Linked DNA regions of Coturnix japonica. The protein of the gene in region 2 purifies or fractionates together with the protein of the main gene of each other region. This does not show direct contact. Links are inferred from orthologs where the notes say so. Each region holds a gene or a part of one and is shown on either strand. Other genes may lie near its edges.

The links.
Region 1: the proteins of SPAST (region 2) and NUP160 purify together in Homo sapiens (affinity purification with mass spectrometry; 3 studies listed by BioGRID and IntAct, with this or other methods). This does not show direct contact. The link is inferred for Coturnix japonica from reciprocal best matches to the Homo sapiens genes SPAST and NUP160.

What each region holds. Positions count from the first base shown.
Region 1 is NC_029520.1:525,604-533,947, forward strand, and holds part of NUP160 (nuclear pore complex protein Nup160), read left to right. Parts: intron 1-474; coding exon 475-685; intron 686-946; coding exon 947-1,169; intron 1,170-1,377; coding exon 1,378-1,456; intron 1,457-2,079; coding exon 2,080-2,194; intron 2,195-2,657; coding exon 2,658-2,816; intron 2,817-3,703; coding exon 3,704-3,781; intron 3,782-3,951; coding exon 3,952-4,049; intron 4,050-4,641; coding exon 4,642-4,726; intron 4,727-5,173; coding exon 5,174-5,242; intron 5,243-5,542; coding exon 5,543-5,626; intron 5,627-6,024; coding exon 6,025-6,195; intron 6,196-6,317; coding exon 6,318-6,417; intron 6,418-7,705; coding exon 7,706-7,886; intron 7,887-8,344. UniProt on the Homo sapiens protein: Functions as a component of the nuclear pore complex (NPC). Involved in poly(A)+ RNA transport.
Region 2 is NC_029518.1:30,260,909-30,269,180, forward strand, and holds the end of SPAST (spastin), read right to left. Parts: intron 7,242-8,272; coding exon 7,171-7,241; intron 6,362-7,170; coding exon 6,321-6,361; intron 5,430-6,320; coding exon 5,307-5,429; 3' UTR 2,773-5,306; downstream 1-2,772. Other genes in the region: SLC30A6 (zinc transporter 6), read right to left, coding at 1-13. UniProt on the Homo sapiens protein: ATP-dependent microtubule severing protein that specifically recognizes and cuts microtubules that are polyglutamylated.

The DNA.
Region 1 (8,344 bases), on a different chromosome or scaffold from region 2:
GGGGACGGGGCGGGATGAAGGCCTGGGGGGGGGGTTGAGTCATGGAGGGGCTCTTTGGGGCATAGAGATAGAGAGGCTGTGATAGAGAGGCTGCTTGGGGCATGGAGGGGCTGTCTGGAGTGGGAGGGTGTTGGGTTTTGGGGTGGGAATGGAGTGATGGAGGGAATGAGGGGGGATGGGTTTGGGGCTGGGGGTGGATCAAGGGTCTGTGGGGTGGTGGGGGTGGGTTTGGAGGCAGGTAGGGATGGAAGGTGGGGGTTGTGGGGGTTGAGGATGGGTTTGGGGGATGATAGGGATGTGAGTTGGAGAAGGCAGGGACAGAAGGAAGGGGTTTTGCTATAGAAGGAATGAATTTGGGGCAGGAAGGGATAGAGAAGGCTATGGGGGTGGGGGTGGGGCAGGCAGGGATGGTTTTACCTGCTCCCAGCCCCTCCTTGTGTCCCCTGTTGTCCCACACTTCCTTGTTTCTCTCAGGACAACATCTGGGGACATCCTTGAGCTGGTGGAGGAATCTCTGGACACGGAGCTGCTGAACAATGCTGTGCGGTTACGCATCCAGGGCTGCCCGCTGCTGCCGGGCGGTGTACACCTGTGTGAGGTGCAGAACCACCTGGTGCTGCTGCTGGTCACTGTGCAGAGCGTGCACCGCATCCTGCTGCCTCATCCAGCCCGTGCCTATCGCGGGGTGAGTGGCATAGAGGAGTTTATGAGGGATTTAAAGCCTGGCCCTGTGGTCAGTGGCTCCTGTGGAGGCATTACTGAGTGTGAGAAGGGAGAAAATGCTGCTGGAAAATGAGATTTTAAAGCCTGTATGTTTTGGGAAGCAGCAATCGTGGGTTGAAAAAGTGACTGTCACTTAGCAGTGTTGCTCTGTAGGTGGTGAGTTATTTCCTCCATGGCTTGTGTATGTGCTTGAGACTTGTTCTCCTCCCTTTACCTCCTCCAGGATCTGATAGCAGAGAGTCAAGTGCAGTCCGTCTTTACAGACATTGGCAAAATCAACTTCAGAGATCCATCCAGCTACTACCTGATTCCCAGTGTGCCAGGCTTGGCAGCCAACTCACTGGCCTCAGCAGCCTGGCTGAGCAGTGATGGGGAGGCCCTTTTTGCTCTACCCTCTGCAGCAGGAGGCATCTTTGTTATTAAGCTGCCTCCTCATGACATACCTGGTAAGGCTGCATCCTCACACCTGCTTCTGTGGAGCACTGTATCCCCTCTTCCAGCTTTGGACCTCGATGGGTTTTGCTTTTGTCACTTGTGTCTTACGGCCTTGCTGCACACACAGCATCTCTTTTGCATCAGCCTCCTTTCTGGCAACATGTGTTTTGTTAACTAAGTCCTCACTGTGTTTTCCCTGTGTTGCTTTTATTTTGCAAGGAGTTGTTTCGGTTGTGGAGTTGAAGCAGAGCTCGGTGGTGCAGCGCTTTCTCACCGGTTGGATGCCAACAGCAATCAGGTTGGTGTTTGGGGACAAACACAGGGAGCTCGCTTTGCTTTATGATTCCCTCGCATAGGAGGAGGTGGTGTTTCTAGTTGAAGTCCAGCGTGGGCAAATCAGCACCTGCAGATGTGTTCTGCAATGTTAACTGGGTCACAGGCCCCGTCACAGTGAGACTTGAGGGCTGGATTAGTTCATCTTAGTGGGGTCCTGCTGATTCTGTGCGTTGGTGTCTGTGAGTGTGTTACATCCAGTAATTGGCCTCTGAGGATTTACCCAGGATGTGGCTCGCAGCCAGGGTAGATTAAGGATTACAACAGTTGTATGTTCTTGTCCTTGTTCCAAAATGTCAGGCTTCTTTCTGACCAGCAGAGGTTACGTGTAGATAACAGCTCGTTTGGGGACTGTAGTCTTATGGCAGCTTAAGCACATGATCAAACCCTGTTAAAGCCTTCCTGGGAAATGTGAGTGAGCCTGCGGCACCCTGAGTTGGATCACAAGGGGTGCGTTGCTTGGGGCCAGGTGCCTTTCTTTTCCCACCTCAGTCCTTCATCTTAATGGGTAAAACATCACGATAGAAATCTACTGCCTTGGACCTGTGTGCCAACCTTGGCTTCCTTTTAACACACCTGTGCTTTCAGAGGTGACGGTGGCCCATCAGACGTGCCCATCAGCCTTGCAGTTCACTGCCTGGACCACGATGCCTTTCTCTTTGCTCTCTGCCAGGACCACAAGCTTCGGATGTGGTCCTACAAGGTGAGGCTTGCGTTCGGGGCAGGTGTAGTTTAACAGGTGACATTGGGTGCTTTCCAAACTAACTCTGGCAGGCAAGTGGGAGTACCCCAAGGGATGAGGCAGCACCCAAAACGGGTGTTCTGCTGCTTGAGTGGTAATGTAATGTGACTCTTTGTCAACAAGAAACTGCTAAAAGCCTCTGCTTGCTGCATTGTACTTGCTCCAGAGCTAATCAGCCAGCACAGGCACTTTCACGGCTGGGCTGTGCTGGAATGTGTGTCTGCTACTGGAGGGAGGGGAAGCTTTATGTGCTGGCTGGGAGAGCACAGATGAGCTGGGGGAGCTAAACTGCAACCAGAATGCTTATGGTGTACATAAAAATATTTTGCTGGCATTCTGCAGGGAAGGATTGGGCTGCTGCTGGGGTAGACTTGAAGGCAGTTTTGCAGTCCTTTATTATGCTGCTTTCTTGTGCTTCCTGCAGGATCAAATGTGCCTGATGGTTGCAGACCTCCTGGAGTTCATGCCGGTCAGCAGGGACCTGCGGCTCGCAGCTGGCACCTGTCACCGCCTGCGCCTGGCCTTCTCCCAGTCCCTGGGGCTCTACCTCGGCGTGTACATGCATGCACCCAAGCGAGGGCAGGTAGGGAGCAGCAGGGCTGCCTCGCTATAAGCTCGTTTTTCTTGGCCCATGCAGAAAATACATAATTTCTCCTTGGAGCTGAGTATGCATAAGGAGAAAGTAAAGCTTGCCATTACAGGGAGAGAAGGCAGCGCTTTGAGTAAACAGTTTTGTCCTCAGCACTGCAGGATGTGTGTCCTTGCTTTGGGAGGAGAGTTGTGTGTGATTAAGCCAAGTGCTGATCCACTCATTCACCTTCTGTTCTGGTAGTACACACATGCCATGGGAAAGGTCTGAAAGGAGCCAGAAACGTGGAAGCACTGAGAGTGTGTTTATGTTGAGCTCCTGGGAACGTGCAAGTGCATCACAGCACTCTGCCAAATGTTAGCTGCTGTACAACTCCATGTCGTGTGATAAATAATGAATCCAGCAGGAGGGGGCTGACAGCACAGGGCAGCCTCATCTCTTGCACAGCTTCTTGCAGTTCTCCAGGGGGTTGAAGCTCTGAGTAGAAGCACATACTGTGGCTTCTGCTGTCTCTCCAGTGCTAGCTCACTTGTGTAAGAACATGCAGAGCTTTGTTTGAGGTAGCTTGCCTGAGGATTCCAGTCTTTTCCATCTCTGTTTGCCTGCATCGTGTTGTCGCTAGCAGGAACCAGCAGTAGTGTTGTTTTGCTGGTTCAGTCTTTCAGAAGAAACCCTTCAAGTCCAGGCAGGGATCAAGCTGTCCTGCTGACAAGGCTGGCTGGAGTCTGGAATGCTGGCTTGGTCCAGTCTCTGCTGCCCTTGGCCAGGCAGCTGCCACACCAGGGACCTGTGGATGGGTCGCAGGGAGCAAGGAGAGGCTTCCCCACAGCACACGGGTTGGTGTTCCTCTTTAGCAAACGACTTACAGGATGTGTTGGTAGTTCTGTGTCTTCCAGCTGGTAAGCACCGAGAGCAGCCGCTACAGCCTTGACCACATATCCTCTCTATTCTCCTCTCAGGTGAGTGCTGGGGCAGGTCTTTGCAAAATAAGAAGGGAGCATTCCCTGCTAGATTTAACTGTTAGTCAGGAATTCTGTCCAGAATATGGGTAAACGGCATGAGGGAGAGTTTGGCTGTTTTTAACCACACGAGTCTCTGCTGTGCTTTCATTTCTGTTCCCTTCCTGCAGGAGACTCTCATCGACTTTGCCTTGACCTCAGCTGAGATCTGGGCGCTGTGGCATAATGAAGAGAACCAAACCATCGTGAAATACATCAACTTTGAGCAGTGAGTTTCTGCCCTGACTTACTGGTGGGGGGGGGATCTGTCAGATGCTGCTCTGTTCATTGAAAGCTCTTACCCAGAACTTCTTGATAGCGCAGCGTTCATGTCATGCACACAGCTGTGTCTTCCTGCAGTGCAGATCATGTGGATATTTTTTGTGTTGTGCTGTATAATGCCACAGCTCAGCTGCAGGAATGTGAGAAATGTAAGAAGGCAGGCAGTAGGTTTGCAGTGAGGGAGGGCTGCACTTCAGCAGCAGGTCTGGCTGCTCTTTTCCAGTATGATCATGTTTTGAGGTGAGCAGTGACATGAAAGCTTTGTCCTTATTTCTGTAAAGCCAAGAGGGTTCTTTTGGCATGAAACCAGGCGGGGAGTTGAAAACTGAATAAAAAATGCTGAGCATTTAGGTTAGCTCAGGACTGGGGATAACAGTGTGAAGCTCTGCTGGCTCAATCTGTTGTTTATCACCACTCAAAGCCCTGTCACCAGTCCCCAGGGGCTGTCAGTGTGACAGGTTGGCTTCAGGTGACAGCTTCTGGGGGCGTTGCAATGCAAAACTGATTGGTTTTTCTTCTTGTTTGTTTCATTACTCCAGAAACGTGGCAGGACAGTGGAACCAGGTCTTCATGCAGCCACTGCCTGAAGAGGAGGTGACAGTTCGACATGATCAGGACCCCAGGGTGAGCTGACTAGAAAAGCAACAAGAACTAATGAAGCTTCTCTGCCCCAAGGAAGATGTTAAGGTTGCTGAAGTGTACAATTTATCTTGTAACACTTCTTGAAATTGTTCCAAATTAAAGGAGATGAGCCCGGGGCTCTTATCACAGCATTAAAGTGCTAAGCCTAGTTACAAAGCCTGAATTTGAGGGAAGGGGAGAATTTCAAGTCAGTCCAGAGCAAGCCTTGAGACAAGCTGTATGAATAAAGAAGGTCTGGAGTGTGTGGGGAGCCATATTCAGCTGTGGGAGCTGCAAAGGGTGGGGAGGAAGAGAGGCTGGAGCAGAGTGTGAGTGTAAACTGAAGCTGGAAAGAAATACAGATCAAGAGGGAGGAGTTTGAGAACGGGAGCTAACACCAGCAGCAATATCTTATCATTTCTGTAAATTCCCATCTTGTTCTTTTCACAGGAAACCTACTTGGAGTACCTCTTCATGCCTGGCCGCTTTTCAAATGCAGCCATCCAGAAAGCTTTGCAGGTTCGTGTGAGAGCATTTGGTGCCTTCTCTGTTCAGCTTCTTCCTCACAGTTCAGATGTGAGGCAGCAGGATTCCTTGGCTGGCATCAGTTTGCTCTTGACAGCTTACAGGCCTGTCAGGGGTCACTGGAGCAAGTTAGAAAGAGTAAAGCTGGCTGAAGCACTTAGCTCCCAGCCCTGTTTTTTCACACTTTCACCCAACAAATCAATGGATAATGCATTGTGAATGTTGTATGTTGCTGAATGCTTCTCCAAGACAGCTCTCTTGGTTTAAAGAAAGGCTTGCTGTGTTGATTTTCAGATATTTTCTCAAGGAACAGAGAGGCACATGGACCTGACGTGGGATGAGTTAAAAAAAGAGGTTACCTTAGCTGTGGAAAATGAGGTAGGGTTTCTTTTTCCCTCTGATGTTTTGTTCTTGCATCCATTTTTACATAGTGTTGTGGTGGCTCAGTGAAGCTGGTTAAATGCAACATGACCCTGAGCCGTGTTTTATCCTTTGTATTTCTGGAGGAGTTATGCAAACTGTGTTTTTGGTTCTGAAGAAAGAAAATCTTCACCTGTTTTTTCATTCCCCGTTCTTTTTTTGTGTCTTTAGTGGGGAGATGTTAGAAACAAATAAGTTTTGCCTGTAGGTTGGTAGGGAAGGGAATTGCAAGTGGTCTTTATAAATCCTTAACTGTGTAATTATGTGATGCTGGTCACAAGGGACACAATATCAGTTCAAATGCTAGTTTTTCATTCCCTTCCGGTTCCCATCTGAAGCTGTTTTGTTCCTGCTAGTTCCAGGGCAGCGTGACAGAGTACGAGTGCTCTCCAGAGGAGTTTTGTCAGCTGCAGGTGGATTTCTGGTCCAAGTTCTGTGCCTGCTGCCTTCAGTACCAGGAAGCGCTCTCGCGGCCCCTGGCCCTGCTCTTGAACCCCTACACCAACATGGTGTGCGTGCTGAAGAAGGTGAGGCTGAGCAGCAGTGCTCTGGGTAAAGCACCCAGGCAATTAGCCTGCACATTGCCATGCCCTTCTTACTGAGGAGTGATTGAAGGAACTCACATAATTGCTTTGCCTCGCCTTTCTAGGGGTCTGTGTCCTTCCTTGTGCCCTGCTCCTTGGTGGACCATCTCTATCTCCTCTCTAATGAGCATCTGCTGACTGAGGACGATGCTGCCATCTTTGATGGTAAGTGAGGAGATGCAGAGCTCTTCTGTTATTGGAGGCTGTAAATGTGCCAAAAATAAGTTTGGAAAACTTGAAAAAGGGAGAGTCTTAGATTTCAGGCTTAATGACAGGCATCCACAGTGGTGCGATCCTTTGCCTCGTGGCATACCCTGAGTACACACACTGGTGCCTTCTTCACACCCACTCTATGGGTTAGATCTGCCAGACTGGAGCCTAACAGTGTGCTACAGGGGCTCAGAAGCTTGTGTTTCTGCCCCCTGCTTTGTTTAATCAGCCTTTAACAGCTACCAGGTGAATGCAAACTCAAGCCAGGAGGCCAATTCCATCAGAAATACTTCATAATTTCATATCGTGCCAGCTGGTGACCCCTTATATAAGGATCTTATGGGTGACACCCTGGTTTGAACCCCTTTTGGCTTTGCAGTTCTCACCAAGAGCTGTAGGACCTGCATGTAGGCTACAGAGAGGGACTGGGAAGCTTGTCTCCAGAAGTAAGTGGTAGAGAGAGCAAAACTCATCATTAATATCATCACCACAGTGCCCTCTATGCTTTGCTGCTGATGGAACAAGAAAAAGGCAATGGAAAATATTATTTAAGTCCTACTTCCGTGCTTGAGTCATTTTTTTTTATATTTTTTTCACATTTTTGGGTTATTTTTAATCATCCTCCACTTGGTTGAGCTATTTCTGGCTCCTGTAGAGGGAAAGCTGGAGGCCTGGGCTGGTTTGGAGAGGCTGACATTGCCTGCTCCATCTGGTTTGAGCTTCTCAAACAAAGTGACTTGATCTTTAAGATACACATACCCCAGGGACTGTGTTGGAAAACAGGGATTTGTTCTGTAAACTCTTGGCCCTTAGAAATGATCTGAGAATTGACCTAAGAATGTGAGAATCTCCTTTTTGCTAGAGAGGGCTGCAAATGGGGAACTGCTACAGCAGGATTGGCAGCTCCTTGGTGGAGCTCAGCTGTATGAGCCCCTGGCTTTGGATTTCTTTGCTCTTTGCTATGTGTTTCCTTTCAACCTGTAGCTGGAGGAGATGCCTTACAGGGAATTTGATAGTTAATTGTTTTTTGTTTGTTTTTTACCCCCAAATAAAGTCCAAATCTTTGTCAACTGCCACATTTTGATTTGGTCATGTTTGCAGGGCAGGGTGAGTTTGACATGCAGGTGACATGCAGGACTGAGACCAATCTGCTGCTTGTGCTTTGCTGATGGTGATCTGGGCCAATCTGTTTAGAATGGTCCTCCCGCTTGGCTGTTGAAATCTCTTGTAAATATACAGTTAGATTCTTTCATTGCAGATTTGGAGATGTCTCGTGATGTTGTCTGTCTTGTCCAGTGCCTTCGACTGATCGGAGAATCAATTTCCATGGATATAGCATACATTATGGAAATGGCTTGTTCCCGCCTCCAGCCTCCAGAAAAGGCTGCAGAGCAGATCCTGGAGGACTTGATAGCTAATGACACGTAAGGAGAAGCCTTTCTGCAGGCAGGGGATAGCTGAGCAAGGATTGCTTGGAGCAGTCCTCTCACTGGGGATGCGTGGGTATCTCCCTGTGCTGCCATAGGGAGATGGTGGGTGTGGGTATTGGTCCTGTTAGCAGGCATTTCCATCCCAGCCCCCTTACTATTGCCTTAGGCTCCCCTGAGCAGAAATGTATGCAAAATATATGCAGGTTCTGAGATGAGGCAGGGTGGAAGAGGAACAAGTTCTCATTAGCCGATTGTGCAGGCACGCTTATTAGAGGTCAGAGCCGTGGTCAAGCCGTGTGGTTACATGCTAACCTCCTCCAGTCACTCCCTGTGGAATGCCCGCTATCTGACTGCTATTTCCTAGTGCCCTGGGGGAGCAGAATAAATAGCCCAGACTCTGCAGGCGCTACAATAAAACTGGGAGCCAGAAGAGGATTCAGGCAGCATCCTGG
Region 2 (8,272 bases):
GAGACGGCGCCATGCGAGGCCGGAAGAGGCGGAGGGGGCTGCCGTCACTGTGGCAACCTGCAGAGCCTGCGGGGCGACAGCGGAACTGGATGTGACGGCAAAGGAAGCGCGCCCCTAGGGCGGGGACACCAGGCCTTACCCCGCCCTGCTGCACCACACAGCGATATCCGGATAGTCACGGATAGCAGCACTTGCCTATATTAGTACTAAGAACTTGACTCAATAAGAACTTGACTCAAGTCCTTTAGAAACTAAATGAGGTATTGACGTATTTATTGTTCCATCATCCAGCAGGCACAACACCTGACTTGATTCATTTATTAAAGCAGTAACAACTTAATCAGATTGAGGTTTAATAAGAAGGGTTGCAGCTTTGGGCGTTTTAATCTGATAAACAGACGAGAGCAGTAAGAAAAGGATAAATGCAACATTTTATTGTGAAGCTGACGCTGTGTGAGTGCTCACCACGCTGCCTTACATTGCTTATTAATGAAGCCATGTTTAACATTCCACAAAATGTTCTTTAGGGAACACTGAGGCATAAGACCCTCAACACAACCAAAGACAAGCATCAGCTCTGTCTCAAACCAGAGTTATTCACTGTATTTAACAGGGTAGGGGACAGCAATTTGCCTCCACCTTCTGCTTGTGTCACTTAAATCCAGACTTCTGAAAAAACTGACTAGCCCTTCACATGAATGAGGATTTGAATTGTGACAGTTTCCATGTTCTCAGCCCCCTTGATAGGTACACAAGCATTACATCAAGTACTTCTCACTTCCAATGGCAAAAACAAAAACACCCTGCAGAACTGAGACCACATCTTAAGCATCCTGAAAGAATAAACCTGTATTAACCAAGTACGAAGAAAGTCAATCTTCAAAGTCAGCCTCTGAAACAGAACTTTTAGAAGTGTTTCTTATGGAGACAAAGTCTAATCACCAAACTAACAGACAATTGCAAATCAAAAAGACGAAACTGACCAGTACCGACAGAATTGCAGTGTTTAACCGATACATTTAGATACAGTGGAGGAGGGTCTACCTTGTCAATTATTGCTGAACTCAGGAGGTAGTTACTGACAAAATAAACAGTTTACATCATGACAGCTTACAATTTACAAGAGAAGCAGAAAGAATATAACACACATCTGCCTGTACTTTAGATGATTCTGCCTTTGTAGGAAGCTAGTTTATGTCTGTGTCCTGTTGAAGTTACAGTACTTAAACTCTTTATGTATTGGTCATCTCTTAAGATGACCATGGAAACTCAAGTAGGTGAGTAAAACAACATCCTTCAATACTAACCAGAAGCTCAAGAGACACTAACAGTGAAATCGGTAACTGCCTCTAATGAGCATGACAATAAGGGAACTGTTCTCCACTGCTTGCTTGTTACCTTTTCATTTCTGACAACTGGTAGAAGTCCCCAGCACTAAAAATACAGGAGCTTAAGACTACCACAAAACGAATGAACATCTGTAACCTACAATAGTGCTTGCCATCTCCCACAGCTGCCACATGCAGAAGCATCGCTAAAGCATTAGAATAGCTAAACTTATCTTAGGCACAACTATGCAATTATCCATGCCTTGTAGGAAAGCAGTAGAAGATTCTAGCACACAAGAAATTTCATCATCTGTGGTGAAGGAAACAGAATGCTGCTTTCCATATCAGTTGCAAAACCAATACTTCAGTTAAATTTGCCAACATACCTGGTTTCGCAGTACTTAAATTTCATACAATGTACATGACAGCTGTGCCAGCTAAAAATTGCTTGTTTAGAACAGGGAAAACCTACCAATTTCTTCTATACTGGAAGGTAAGTTTAATTGTCACAGGAAGTTGTATGTGTAATAACCTGCCATTTTAATCACATTCAAAGAAATCCAACAGGGAGATCAAATTAGAAGATCTGCTTCTAGTTACTGCAGCAACAAGGAGTTCCTTCCCAGTTCAGATTCCATTCCAGTTATCAAATGTTACTATCATGTTTGGTATCTAAATAAAGCAAGTTGCAGGGCCATATTCAACAAAACTCTTACTCTCTGACTTTCTGAAGTACAGCTGATAAGAAGTTTTGGGGAGGAATGCCTGTTCCTAATGCATTAAACTATAATTCTGACACAATAAGAGAACAGGTGAAACTTGCAAGTGCATAAATATACCACTTCAACCAACCCGCTGCCTTAGACACTGCTCCTTCAGCAGGTAGAAAAACAAAACAGGTATTTCCAGCTTAATAAAACAGGCAAGAATGCACAAAGAAGACAGTTGTTTTTCCCTTCCCTCCAGTAAGTGTTTAACTTCAGGCCAGTAAAAAAACATATGCAGCGAGCCAGACAAGCTGCTTCCTAATAATCTCTGAGAAGTGGGTCAAGTCATTCATTACAGCAGTGGACAGATTCATCCTAGGAGGGGAAAAAAATAAGTCAGTTTAGGGACTTAATGCAAACATAACCTTTGCAAAGGTTAAAAGCATCCAAGCTGTTGTCCTGCTTATCCTAACCTAATTCAAGATAGATACTGCATTAGAACATAATCTGATTTTATGACATATACGGTCACAAAGTTCTATACAAAATATGTGAGTTGTGGGTTCCCCCCTCCCCACTCTGCTTTTAGATTTGCTTTTATACATAGTTAATCTAGCACACAGATGAAAATCATTGAGCTGGAAATTACTCAGCGTATGTAACATCAGAAATGAGAAGATGCGATTAAACATCCCGAGGGGAACAGAATTATTATTAAAAAGATACTGTTCAGTAAATAGTGTGAATGTGTAAATGTAATTTAAAGGCAATTCATGAACCAAATGGCACTTGGTTACAGACTAAAAAATACAGCAGCCACTGGGGCAAACTGACATTGCAGAACAAAATAAAGCTCTGTGTTGCAGAACTCATCCACAGAGCATCAATTTAGACATTACACATAAAATAATTAAGGCAGGATAGGTACCAAAAACATTACTGTGTCACACATTCTCCAGTCCTGAACCAGTTGTTCTTTTCCTTTCTGAGGTAGCAGCTCAGGCTTCTGACTCTTTGTGCTGCTTTTGCTTGTGGTGTTTTAGGAGGTGCGATGTTCTACCTTTACATTCCATGTACCTATCACCTGCCAATACACACCTGAAATTAATATCTCTATATTCTTCAAAATTTAATGGAGGGAAATTAGTTTCCTAACAAGTATTTAGGAATGCTTATAGCCACGAGTGTTACCTCAGAGCTCCCATTTGCAAATAATCTCCGGGAAAAATTTGCAAGCTTTATCAGTAGGAAAACCAGAGGCATTTGTTATCTGTTTAGCCATTTGGCATATGGTAACTAAACAGTAATACCTGTGTTTAACACTATGAAGTCTGTGACAAACATATTATACTAGCCAGAAATCTCAAAGAAAGATAAGTCTGCTGAAGGCAGAACTGAGGCAAAGCAAGAAAGACAGGAGATCAGACAAACTAAAATCTTTCAGCATTTCTTCTCTGGGAAGGTTGTTCAGGGGAACAGAAATCACATTTCATCTATATCAGACACACATTTGATAGAGTCATACGCTTAGAAGGCTAGAAGTGATTTGGTTAGAAGGTTAGAAATGGTTTCAAAAGGCATACTAGTGTAACACAATCTTTTCATATATTCAAATTAAAAGTAACTTAAATTAAAAGTGTCCCTTGTTAAAAAAACAAACAAAACACACTAATCCCAAACATACTGCATGAATACATCTCAAAAGCTTTACACACCTTCAGCTATCTCGTAACAAATACCATGCAGCGAACACCAAGCCCTCTCTTGGTATCACTGCCTTTGCACTGCATCAGCTATGTGTCTTCACAGATATAAAATTATAATATATACAGACAATTTTCAAATGAGTAGTGCCAGAAATATTTAAGACTTACTCCTTACAATAAAATAATTTAAAGGAAAAAGGACAAAGTTTGCCATTCAAACCAAAAGGAAATGAAGGAGGGAAATGAATTTACTTATAACAATTGTAAACAATACACAACTTTGCAACATCACTAAGCTGGGAGAGTTGTCTTTCTTAATTTTACAGCAGTTCTAACAAGGAACTGGTATCTGCTTTACAAACATCCCAGTGTTTGATTGATGCAGAATTTGTAAACAAGATGTCAGGCCTTTAGAAGTAAAGGCAGAGATGTTTTATTACAGCATTTAAAGGCTTGCACTTTTTAATAGCTTGTCATTTATATAATAAAAATCCAAGTATTTGTACAAAGATGCAGTTTCTTTCAAAAAAAAGCAGATCAGTTGAGTGTTTCATACTTTAATATACAAACCAAAAACATATGAAAGCTATAAAAACATTAATGTTCGCAATGTATTAAACACGTAGCCTTATGTTTAAAGGTTAAATGTGTAGGTTTAAAAAAATTACACAATGGAAATTTCACTTTCAAATGACCGCAGCCGGACCAAAATACAAAGTAGAAACACGTTTCTGAAACTTGACAATTAGCGTCACTTACTCTCTCAAACAGCTGGTCTTCAAGTCGCACACCATAAGCGTTAAGCTAACATTCTATCAATGGAAGCATTACAAATCGCGTTAAGTGAAAATACTGCCAGTAAATGAACGTCTTAATCTATTTCTTATTTAGTCATTTTCTTAAGAACAGTTTGAACTGGTTGTATAGCTTTTTGTTGGTTTGTCTGTTGCTGTTCTGCTATCACAGGTCTTTTTTAGAACTGTTCTGTGAACAACACACTCACATACAACTAAACAAAAAGACAAATAATAACAGACCAGCTGCACTTTACATTGTAATGAACGTAATCCCCCAGTGCTGTCCTTCAGCTTTGCATGGGGAATTTGTTTTATTTGGCACATTAAGGGTAAAAATAAAAATAAAGAGACAAAAGTGGAACCGAAGGTTACAAAACAGTCTTAACTATTAGTAGTCATCAGGAAGGAAGCCAGACATGAATGTCATGGCAGAATTAAAAACAAAAGTAATGCACACAACATAGGGAAAAAGCCTTCCAATGATCAATATCATCAGAGCCTTCCAACTGAAACAAAACACACAAACTATGATCAGATTGGTAGGAATCTTAACCAAAGTCCTATTGTGCTCTTACTTACAGTGTGTAAATCCTCACTAAACGGCAAGGAGGTTTTGATGAACTTATTTCACATTGTATAATTTTTTCATATTCTCAAGTTTTAGTGCAGATTCTCAAAGATCTGCCAAGTCCTGTAAACTTTGGCTGCTTTTCAGTAGTCTGTATTCCTGCTCCTCAGGCAGCACTTTGTTCCATCTGAAGTAGCGTTTCACACCGTGGTATCTCCAAAGTCCTTGTTCCAACGAACGTATGCTTCCAGTGTCTGCGGGCTCAAACTACGCTTTATCTTCTTCAAAGACTCAGTGAAATCTGATAATTTAATATTTCTCATCTAAAAGAAAAGCAAAAAGCAAATGATATTATGATGACAAGCAGTTCAAATGCTCCAGTTTATTCAAAAAGTACTTCAGTATTTACTTCTAACATGCTTCATATGATCTGATGCAATAGTCTTGTGCCATTTAAGATTATCATTACTTTTTTCTTATAATACGTTTGATAACTATGTTAGTTTTGTTACTTAATAACCCATGAGAATGTGTTACTGCTTCCTATTCCGCTAGGTGGTGCAAGCCAATGCACACAGGGGCACAAGCCTGAGTGAAGTGCACAATGTGGGATTTTTAAAACACATTTAGGGCCTAACTTTGTACCCCCACTTTGTGCACTAGAGGTCCTCCATACCCAAAAAAAGATACACAGATAATGTATTCAAGATCACAGTGGGCTCTCAGCCAAGTAAATCTTCTCATCTCACTTCTCTGATTCAACATACACCCTTCAGTTTACTGAGAACACAATTACAAGTAGAAATACATCCAGACACAGTGGGAGGTAGGCAAAGAGTGTGTAAGGGCAGTCGCATCATCAAATGAGTATTAACGTTACAGATGGTGCTGATCCTCCAGGTTTCATGATTACCAGGTACTTCTTAGGAAAATACTTTTATAAGACTTTACAAGAGCCAGTTTCTTCATTTTCTCCTTTCTAGGCTTAGAGATTTAAAACTGCTCAGAGAACCTCTGATATCTGAGGACAGGTGTTTCTTCACACAGTTTCTTTAAAACTTCTTCGGTGAGGAAGTAATCACAAAGATGTAACAGCCAAAAAAGAAAAAACAAACTCCTGTTTTGTAGGATACTAAGCATAAGCAAAGAGACATTAAAAGTTTCAGCTGAGCATGTTACTTTCAAAAGGGAAAACAATTGCTGGAACAGCATACCTCACTGGCAGACATATTCTTCACCTGCTCTGGTTTTAATTCTGTGAAAATAAAGAGAGATTACTGAGTTTTGTAGGAAAACCTACCTCTTCTGACAATTAAAACATGTTAAAATGTAGTTTTAATTGGAACACCACCACAGACAAGATAGATATCTATCTCCATCAACATAATATTCCTTAAGGAAAAGTACATGGTGGCATTTTTCTTTTCCTCCTCTTTCTTCCCATTAAGCACCCTCCCACCCAGGCTGCTTCCAAAGTGACTCACTACAGATACAGGATGACAGCAGAACAACATCCTTCCTCACAAAGGGAAGCATCCACGTATAACAGCTGCCCTCCACCATTTTATTCTTAGGACCCACATTTCTCTACCAGCAGAACATGCACAATCCCCAGCAAGCAAAAAGGTACTATCAGCCAGGAATACAGAAATAAATTAGGTAGGCACATAAAACTGCATCTCACTGCATACACTAATAATGGAAGTTCACCATTTCAGTAGCCCTCCTCATTTTACAGTTTTCTTTTTGAAGTATTATTATGGTAACAGAGTATAGGAAACTTTTTGCTCTGAGGGTACAAAGAACATAGGTGGGATCAGCGAGGCTGACATTAAAAAACAATTAGGATTTTAATTGGAAGCTAGGATCAGGTAGAAGTAGTAATTTGTGATCTCTTCTCAACATGGACTCGCATGCAAAGTGATGTGCCAAAGTATCTTTAGAGATAAAAGTAACTTTTAACTCTAATGCATACATAAACTTAACTACTATAGAGAAATACCTTTAAAGTCTTCAAGGGTATTGCAATTTTTTAGTCTAAACATAAAAGCTGTGCTAGCTTACCTCGGATTGGACCCAGTGCTGCATCCTTCGCTAATGCAGTCAAATCACTTCCAGAGTATCCATCTGTCATTCTTTAAAAAGAAAAAGGAAGAGATAGGAAAAGAGAAGAATGGAAAGATTGCTTTGAAATACCTTGTTGTTAACTGCATATGGTTAAGACATTATTTGATCAGAAGAAATACTATTTAAATGTTGCATACAATTCAGAGCCTAAAGAGAAACTCTTCAGTTTTACCAGGTCTTAGATTAAGCCATCTATTCTTTAATCAACAGGTGTTTCTTATAATTATTTAAGTTTGTGCGTTGTTTGTTTTTAACTATTTGAGTTAAAAACTTGTTTAGGTTAAGGATTAGTTCAGGGTAGTGGTCACAGCTTCAAAAACCTGTCAGCGGTCAAGAAGCACTTGGACAACTTTCATATTTCTGGTGCAGCTCTCAGGTGTGTGTGGAGTTAGGAGCTGACATGACCCTTGTGGGTCCCTTCCAACTCAGAGTGATCTACAGTAAGATCTATAGACCAGCCTTCTGCAGATAACTGCTCCAGTTAGTAAAAACAAAGTAAAATACATATTACATAAGAGAACTTCACAGAATCATGAAGAAGTACAAATTCCAATTTCTCCTGAAACAAAAATGTAAGTCAATTGGACCACTTAGGGCCCTCAACTTTAATCTTTTGATTATACTGTTTCATTAAAAAAAAAAAAAACCTCTTTATTTGCATTTGTTATTTGTAGCATAAATTGGTAGTCAGAATCCAAACTGCTATCTTCTTCCTTCACCTAGCTACTACTGTGGCTTAAGTACAGCTTGAGCTAGCACAGAGAATTTGTTCAGGTGGATTATACACCACATTTCTGTCACACCTCCTGCGTACTACCACAAACAGAATCAATACAGAAGGACACACAGTTGAAAATTTCAGATCTCACAATTGTTTTTCACTCCTTCCTGATGAAGTCACCTTACCTAAAGTTTACTCAGCCTTCCTCCACACCCTCTGCACTATCTGAAGAATGAAAAGAGCACTACTGTATCAATATTAATGATTAAAAAAAAAGCAACAACTTTGTTCCATAGTAAGGGTACTAAGCTCTCATTT